Macaca mulatta: one gene and its partner. The protein of the gene in region 2 binds, or shares a complex with, the protein of the main gene of each other region. Links are inferred from orthologs where the notes say so. Each region holds a gene or a part of one and is shown on either strand. Other genes may lie near its edges.

Region 1 (4,278 bases), about 160 kb from region 2:
AGACGGGGTTTCACCCTGTTAGCCAGGATGGTCTCGATCTCCTGACCTCGTGATCCGCCCGTCTCGGCCTCCCAAAGTGCTGGGATTACAGGCTTGAGCCACCGGGCCTGGCCTTTCCTTTCCTATTCTAATCACATCCCTGCTTATATTAGAGTATATCTCTCTTGCTAAAACTGTCTGCCTCTTAAAAGCAACAACTATGACATATATTTACATATCTCTAGACACATAAACCTAACAAAAGTTTACAAAGGTGTGCAATAAATGTTCCCCGGGCTAAAATAATGAATAATAATGTGTACAAAGTCAAAAATAAAATAGAACAATGGCGGGAATTGACTGATTCTTCATACAGTTGTAAAACTATTATACTACATAAATTACTGCAAAAATTAATGACCGTAGAGAGGAGGACTACCACTAACAAACTAGGATCCTGGGCTTACAGGGGTTAAGGAGATCTAACCACAAGGGGAAAAAAATATTCTTAATTTGTCTTCATTAAAGACTAATTTTAGGTCTTTGGGTAATTAAATGAATACATTGTTTATGCTACATACACTTTCGGCCCGAGTCTTGGAAAATACGTGAAACTTCCAAGAATTAAAGTTTCCATTAACGCAAGTGCCAAAATCAGGAGGCTTGACCTGTGGGAAAAAGCACATTTGTCTTCGCTGGCTCCTTTTCAAAAAGCTATAGATGGTTATTGTATAACCTTTTTTTGTACGCAAATGCTCTGTTTTATCATGCAGACCATCTAGACAGAGGAAGAAGCTGCAACATTTCAGAAAGCAACCAATTACTGAAGACCGAATGACCAGGCCTTATCAGCGCTGAAGTGTTAACGGCGGTCCCTGTTTGGGGCAAAATTTCTTCATCGGGAACCACTGCCAGTGGTTTCTTTTTTCTTTTTTTTTTTTTAAGGGGTAGGGCGGGGGGCGGGGGGGGCGCAGTCGCTGTTTTGAGGAGTGTGTGTGTGTGTGTGTGTGTGTGTGTGTGTGTGTGTGTGTGTAATTCCCTGAAGAGTGGCTTTGGCTGGTGAAGAAATAGTTTACTACAGTGGGTTTCAGAACATCTTCCACCTGCATCTCTCCTAGCAGGTGGAAATTTAATGTAAATAATTGCGTGTGCCCACAGCTTGAACGCCTTGGAAGAATATTTTCTGACTTCTCTGCTTTGATTCAGTCAGAAGTAGCCCAGTTATCATGAAGAAGCCCAGTTATCTACCTAGGTTACAAAATAAAATTAAAATTAAATCTCCTTGCGTCAGTGAACTTGGACTCAGAAAGTTCTCTCCCCTGAGCAGAGAGCCTTTTAAAGACTTGTGTGTCACGCTGGCAGCAGGGGGTCGCGGCTACTGGAAAGGAGCTGGCTCTGCAGGTCCCGCCCTCCCCCGGGTCGTCCCTCCCTCTGGCCTGCTCCCTACCTCCCGGGGACTCGCGCTCGCCCCCTCCCCGCCCGCCCCCTACTCCGCGACAGCGGCGGCTTCCGAGGTCTGGCGTGCGTCAAAGCCCTAACTGGGAGGCTGATTTGTGGAGCATCCCCCCCGGCCCCCCCAGTCCCTCCTCCTCCCACTGAAGTGGCCAAAGGAGTTGAGCTGAGCAGGGGGAGGGGAAGATCGACACCCATCCCCCTTCCTCTAGCCCTCCCTGCGTTTAGATTCAGTTGCACCTTTTATTATTTTAACTCTTCTCCATAGGACACGCAGCCCCCAATCTGTCCCTCCGGCCTGGGCGGCCCCTGGTCCCGCGCGCCAGGATGGGAGAGCGAGGGACCTGCCCGCGGCCCGCCGGCGTGTGCAAGGAGGTCCAGCCGCCGCGCCCGCTGCCCGGAGTCTGTAAGTTTCAAAGCTGCTCCGGGGGAGGGGAGGGGGAGGCTGTCTGCGTTCCCATAAATGATTTAAAATGCAAAACACCGGAGAGGCTTGCAGTGTTGGATGGACTTTTCGGGGTGCACTCCCTACTGCAACCCGCAGGCTGTTGTCTGGGGTTTTTTTTTCTCCCCCCGCACCTTGTATATTTGATTCCTTCGTTGTTTAAAAAAAAAAAAAAGTTTTCAATTTTTCAATTTATAATATTATGATTTCCATAGGAACCTTTTTAACTGTTTTTTTAGATGCAACTCATTCTTTCGCATTTAAAATAATTCTTATAATTTATAAATTCTATAGCACATCACTTATAATTTTGTCAGATTACACGTTATTTATACTGCGCAAGGAGTCACGGCCTTTGCTTACTTCTAAAAATAACGGAGGAAGAATTTCCCCTCTTTACTTTTAATATTGCTACATCATCTAAGTACTTTAATAAGTAAGTAGATCGTGCACCCAACTGGTCTTAATCTTCTTGATTGACGCCACGTGCTGTAGCCTTGCACTAATTTACAGACGCGGTTCATCGCAGAGAATTATCTTTGAGCCTGCTGTTTACCGGAAGGCTCTTGGTTTTGTTTAGCTAAGGCTATGCCCATATGTGTTCAGAATGATAAGAAGAATTGGAACAGTTCTTTTTATTAAAACCAAGTAATTTTTCTGAGATCCCAGAACTCAAGCACAAGCTAGATTCATGTTTGGGTTAGTGAAAAATCACAGTTTTGGTTTTGCATGTCACCTCGCGCATGTACAAACCTGTCCTTGAATACAAGGACCAAGAGGTGAGCATAGGGTGGGTTTTTAAGTTTTTAATGAATGTTTCCCTCGTGCAGGAGGACGGGTGTCCAGGGACGGAGAGGCAGGTGAGAGGCAGGTGGCTAAGCTGGCTATGGTGACAGGACGATGTTGGCCAGAAAGAGTATCATCCCGGAGGAGTATGTGCTGGCGCGCATCGCCGCGGAGAACCTGCGCAAGCCGCGCATCCGAGACCGCCTCCCCAAAGCCCGCTTCATCGCCAAGAGCGGGGCCTGCAACCTGGCGCACAAGAACATCCGTGAGCAAGGACGCTTTCTGCAGGACATCTTCACCACCTTGGTGGACCTGAAATGGCGCCACACGCTGGTCATCTTTACCATGTCCTTCCTCTGCAGCTGGCTGCTCTTCGCTATCATGTGGTGGCTGGTGGCCTTTGCCCATGGGGATATCTATGCTTACATGGAGAAAAGTGGAATGGAGAAAAGTAGTTTGGAGTCCACTGTGTGTGTGACTAATGTCAGGTAAGAATGTAGTGGGATGAGGCAGGGGTTGAAAACAGTAGAGAAAAAAATGTCAAAATGCCTTTTCTCTTATCATTCTGTTATTTAATTGAAAGTGAAATAAAGGGTTTGTTTTAGAATCTCCAGAAACAAAAAAGCACAATAAAGAACAAAACCTAACACAGTAAATATTTTTTTAAATGCAACTTTATGGATGAAGAGTCTCTGAAAATCTGAGCTTCAGTCCTTTGGACTAGCCTTGAAAATGTTGTACCAGTTATCAAAAAAAAAAAAAAAAATTGTAATTCAGAGGATAACACAGAGTGCTTTACTCCAAAAGCACGCACATTTAGTTCAGTATGAAAAAGCTGCTGTCCGTACTTTCAGTGTCCACAGGTAAATATCTCTGATCAATAAAAAAAATATTGTGCTAGTGGACATTTTTCTATGACTCTTCTAACCCATGACACTTTCAGAAATAATAAGAAAAAAAAATAGGGAGGCCCTAGGGGGAGAGTGTCCTAGATTAAAAATCTACTAAAAAATGAAATAAATATCATCCCTTCTTTATCGAGATTATCATAACATAGCTAAGTGCTTGCATAAGATTCAGAAATTAAAAGTTGTGCTAAGATTCAGAACTAGAAATTGCTAATTTTTTAATGAAAATTAGTCCAAAATTTTATGGAAGGGGTTATATAAAAGCAATTTAATTTTGTACTCTTCCTTTCAAAGTTTAAATAGAATAGGGACAAGACAGTTCTTAGATACCTAACTTTGGCTTCTTTCTCATATCATAAGTATCTCAAAGGCAGGTAAATTGAATTTGATTTCAGTGATTCTCCTCTCTTACTTTCACATGGTTTAAGAACATTTAGTTGAGGTGATTTGTTTCTTAATTTTTTTTTGTTGTTGGGAGGTGGAAAGAGATAAATTATATCAATTACCAAGATGTTCACTGTGAATCAAAACAGTAGTAATAATACTAGAAAATTTTTCAAAACATTTTTAAAAGAACATTTTAAATTCACATAGTTCACAAAGCAAGGAAACTTGAAAAAGCATTACGATACCAGGAAACTGTAAAGGATGGGACCTCCAGTGACTCTGAATCTTATGAAGCTAGCATATCACTGCAGAAAGTGGACC
Region 2 (3,817 bases):
TTGTGCAAGGAAAGTTTATATATGTCTTTCAACTAAGAGTAGGCTTTAAGTTTCCTTTTTATCATTTCTACTAAATAAAGGAAGTAGTCTAAAAAATTTCATTACTAGCTATTAGTTTTTAGTTTTGTTTTTGTCTGTCTTTGCCAGAAATATACCTAACATACACCTATAAATTCATAACTTCCATTTTGCTGTTGTTTAAAAACTTCAAGTCCCTTTTATTCTTTTATCCAGATTAAAACCTTAATAGCTTGTAAGAATTTACCAAGTGTATAACTTAACCTTAAGGTTTTAAAAATACAACTTTTTTTAAAAAAAAGATGGAGGACAGACTCAACTAGGGAGCATATCAGTTATTTATTATAAAAAGAGCTTATCAGGAACAACATGTGAGAGGCATTCTGTATAAGTATTTAAGATTGTAAATACACAGACTCTTTAGCTGAGGTATTCATATAATGCTTTATAAAACCTTTGCTTGAAATTTGATTTCTCTAATAATTTACCTACCATTGACAACCTTTTCTGTATAACACTCTGTTTTTCCTAGGAAAAGTATTGTTTGTGACCATTGCTAAATCAATTATCAATGAAAGGAAAGAAAGAAAAGGTACTATGCTAGTTAAGAAAATTTTTGGCCGGGCGCGGTGGCTCAAGCCTGTAATCCCAGCACTTTGGGAGGCCGAGACGGGCGGATCACAAGGTCAGGAGATCGAGACCATCCTCGCTAACACGGTGAAACCCCGTCTCTACTAAAAAATGCAAAAAAACTAGCCGGGCGGGTTGGAGGGCGCCTGTAGTCCCAGCTACTCGGGAGGCTGAGGTAGGAGAATGGCGTAAACCTGGGAGGCGGAGCTTGCAGTGAGCTGAGATCCGGCCACTGCACCCCAGCCTGGGCCACAGAGCAAGACTCCGTCTCAAAAAAAAAAAAAAAAAAAAAAAAAAAAAAAAAGAAAATTTTTGCCAACTTTTAGTAATGCAACTCAGAATACAGTGCGACATAAATATAGAAAGGAAACGAGGTCTAGTGAGGTTAAAATCTTAAATTGCTTCTTGGCTTAAAGAATAGATACGATACTTTCTTTAAAAAGCAGGTTGGAGGTTGTGTAATACAGTGGAAAGAAATAGTTTATAAGTCAGACATTTGGGTGTGGGCTTGGCTGCTCTACTGGTTGGCAAGTTACTGAACTTATCTGGACCTTAGTATCCTCCACTGTAAAAGATGAATAACACCACTAGTGTTACAAGGTTGTTCTGAGGATTTAAGATATGCAAAGTGCCCAGAATTTAAATAAGTAGTAGGTATTATAAAATAAGTTTTCAGAATGTTAAAGCTTTTCCTGGAATCTCACAGCAGTATTTTGATGGAGCAGACCTTTGCTCATCTCCCATCTGTTTTGGCACAGCAATAATAGAGAACCATTTAACATGTAAGTGAGAGCATGTCACTCCTTTGCCCCAAAATCCCCAGTGGCCCACTTCACTAAGAGTAGAAGCCACAATCCTGACAATGACTTACAAAGCACGGTGTGACCTTGTCCTCTGTTTCTGCTCTAAACTCATCTACTTCTACTTATGGAGTACCAATTTCCAATTAAAAGATATTCTACGTTTCAAACTTGAGTAGAGTGTATTTCATGTGAGAATATTCTAACTATAGAATCTGAGTAGTTTCATTGACTTGTCATTTGAGTTAGGTTTAATTCATCTTGAGCATTTGATTTTTAGTATTCTTCAGGGAAAGACCGATTACTCTTAGCCATTACTGCAGGCACACTGTTCTCTGTATATTAGTATTTCCCACAACTAGTGAAATGTTTCAGGAAACTCTGTCACAGTTTACTGAACAACTTTAGTTGTTTATTAGTACATTTTCAGTGAGTATGGGAAAATATTTGAAATTATATCATTTTGACTTTTTAGTCATTGGTTCAATTTTTTTCCTTCTTTTTCTTCATATAGACCATTTTTGTTCTTTGAAAGCATTTTAGTCAGACACTCATTTGAGGTATTACTATAGGTGGATATTAATTATAAACATTTTCCACATGAAAGCATATTTCTCTGGAAGTAAAATCTATAGAAAAGAAGATCTCATAGGACGTATAAGGCCTTTATAAGAAACCTTCAAGTTGCTTTGGCACAGTTTCTTATTTCCTCAGCTATCAAAATAAAAGGGATTGATTGTATGATATGGCCTCCTATTCAAGGCTATAATTTTATGAACATGAGTTTACTAATAAGCGGATTTTTCTTTCTCATTTCTCTCCCTTTTAGAGTAAACCATATAAGAAGAAATGAGCCTTTCATTTTGTGGTAACAACATTTCTTCATATAATATTAATGATGGTGTATTACAAAATTCCTGCTTTGTGGATGCCCTCAACCTGGTCCCACATGTCTTTCTGTTGTTTATCACTTTTCCAATATTGTTTATTGGTAAGTAATCTAATGTCCTATGTTATACCACGTGATGTTTATATATCTCACTAATGGCTGAGATTTGGGATAATGTTGACTTAATTTCTCTAACATGGAAGCTGATGGCTGTGAGAAATGAACAAGCAAGTATTTTGTGTTTTTCAAACATAAATTTTTGACAGGTGATCTTCCATAGGTGAAATTGAGGTCACATGCTTGCTTAGGAATGGCCTTCAGGTAGCAGCAGCAGTTTTTTAAAAAGAAGGAGAGAGAAATATATGAGATAGATCTACAGCATTTGTTGAGCACTTACTTTGGGTTAGGTCAAGGGAATGGAAAATGAATAAAAGAGTACTTGCCTTCAGGGAATAGTCCAGTGGGGCAGATGTGTTAAAGTCATGAGAAATGACTATGCCACATTGTAAGTCTGTTTACAAGTACAGGAACAAATTAACCTGCTGAAACAACTCACTCTTTGGAGGTGATGGGGAAGATAGTGAGTGACACGTTTGGGGAATTGGAAGATGCCAAGCATGCAAGTTACAGTGGCAGTGATGAGGTTGTGTTTTATGTAGAAAGAGGACATTCACAAAGTATTTGGAAAGAAGTTAATAATACAGTTTTGTCTTATTTTACAGTTTACATATGTACAAAATCTGATAATTAAGGGCAATTATGAATAATTTGTATAACTTACCCAAACAGACCCTTTAACTTTTTAAAAATTATGAAGTATTTTGATACATAAAATGATGGAGATTAATAGAATAAAAATCCTTTGAGCCTACCAATGCTCACCTAAAGAATATAGAAGTAAGAATGAAAGGGCCTGTCTCTGCACACCATTTTCTGGTCTTGTTACTCTTTCCATATCCTATGTTCCTATCTTTTCACAGAGGCAACCACTATTTTGAGTTAATTGTGCTTAATTTTTTCATGCATGATATTTTAAGTGAAAAAGTTTTCAGATGCATTTTCTTAAGAAAACTAGCAAATTTTAATGATCTGCTTTAAGGGAATGTTTGAAAATCATTCATATGCTTTTATTTATTCATTTAACAAATATCAATGGAGAGGATACTACGTGCTTGGCATTATTCTAAGAGGGATTAAATAACTCATCATATGATATATACACAGGACAACATAACTCTTGGTACATAGTTACATTAAACAAATGTACAGATGCTAAATATATTGAGACCAGAGTGGCCATATGTAGAAACATCAGTTGTTGTTTATGTAGTATTATTTGTAGGTCATGAAGAATGCCCTTTGTCCAAAAGTAGAAAAATGGATTTTTTAACTGTAATTCCACAATTAATAATTCCCCAATTATTGACATCTGGTTAACTTTTTGAGAGCAAGAACAGTGACATTCCATTGTGTATCCCTA

Evidence for each region.
Region 1: the proteins of ABCC9 (region 2) and KCNJ8 are in contact, whole or in part, in a cryo-EM structure (PDB 7MIT), measured with the Rattus norvegicus proteins. The link is inferred for Macaca mulatta from reciprocal best matches to the Homo sapiens genes ABCC9 and KCNJ8. Residues at the interface, in XP_038963045.1 of Rattus norvegicus: Phe5, Ile10, Tyr13, Asn14, Ile15, Val19, Asn22, Cys24, Phe25, Ala28, Leu29, Val32, Val35, Phe36, Phe39, Phe42, Pro43, Ile44, Phe46, Ile47, Gly48, Trp49, Gly50, Ser51, Lys55, Gln57, Ile58, Asn129, Phe130, Lys132; in NP_058795.3 of Rattus norvegicus: Met1, Leu2, Lys5, Ile7, Ile8, Pro9, Glu11, Tyr12, Val13, Leu14, Ala15, Arg16, Ile17, Ala19, Glu20, Asn21, Leu22, Leu45, Ala46, His47, Lys48, Asn49, Gly54, Arg55, Phe56, Leu57, Asp59, Ile60, Thr62, Thr63.

Annotation. Positions count from the first base shown.
Region 1 is NC_133416.1:24,205,536-24,209,813, reverse strand, and holds the start of KCNJ8 (ATP-sensitive inward rectifier potassium channel 8), read left to right. Parts: upstream 1-1,258; 5' UTR 1,259-1,380; intron 1,381-1,385; exon of another isoform or gene 1,386-1,699; 5' UTR 1,700-1,837; intron 1,838-2,706; 5' UTR 2,707-2,776; coding exon 2,777-3,150; intron 3,151-4,278. UniProt on the Homo sapiens protein: Inward rectifier potassium channels are characterized by a greater tendency to allow potassium to flow into the cell rather than out of it.
Region 2 is NC_133416.1:24,365,165-24,368,981, reverse strand, and holds part of ABCC9 (ATP-binding cassette sub-family C member 9), read left to right. Parts: intron 1-2,277; 5' UTR 2,278-2,297; coding exon 2,298-2,439; intron 2,440-3,817. UniProt on the Homo sapiens protein: Subunit of ATP-sensitive potassium channels (KATP). Can form cardiac and smooth muscle-type KATP channels with KCNJ11. KCNJ11 forms the channel pore while ABCC9 is required for activation and regulation.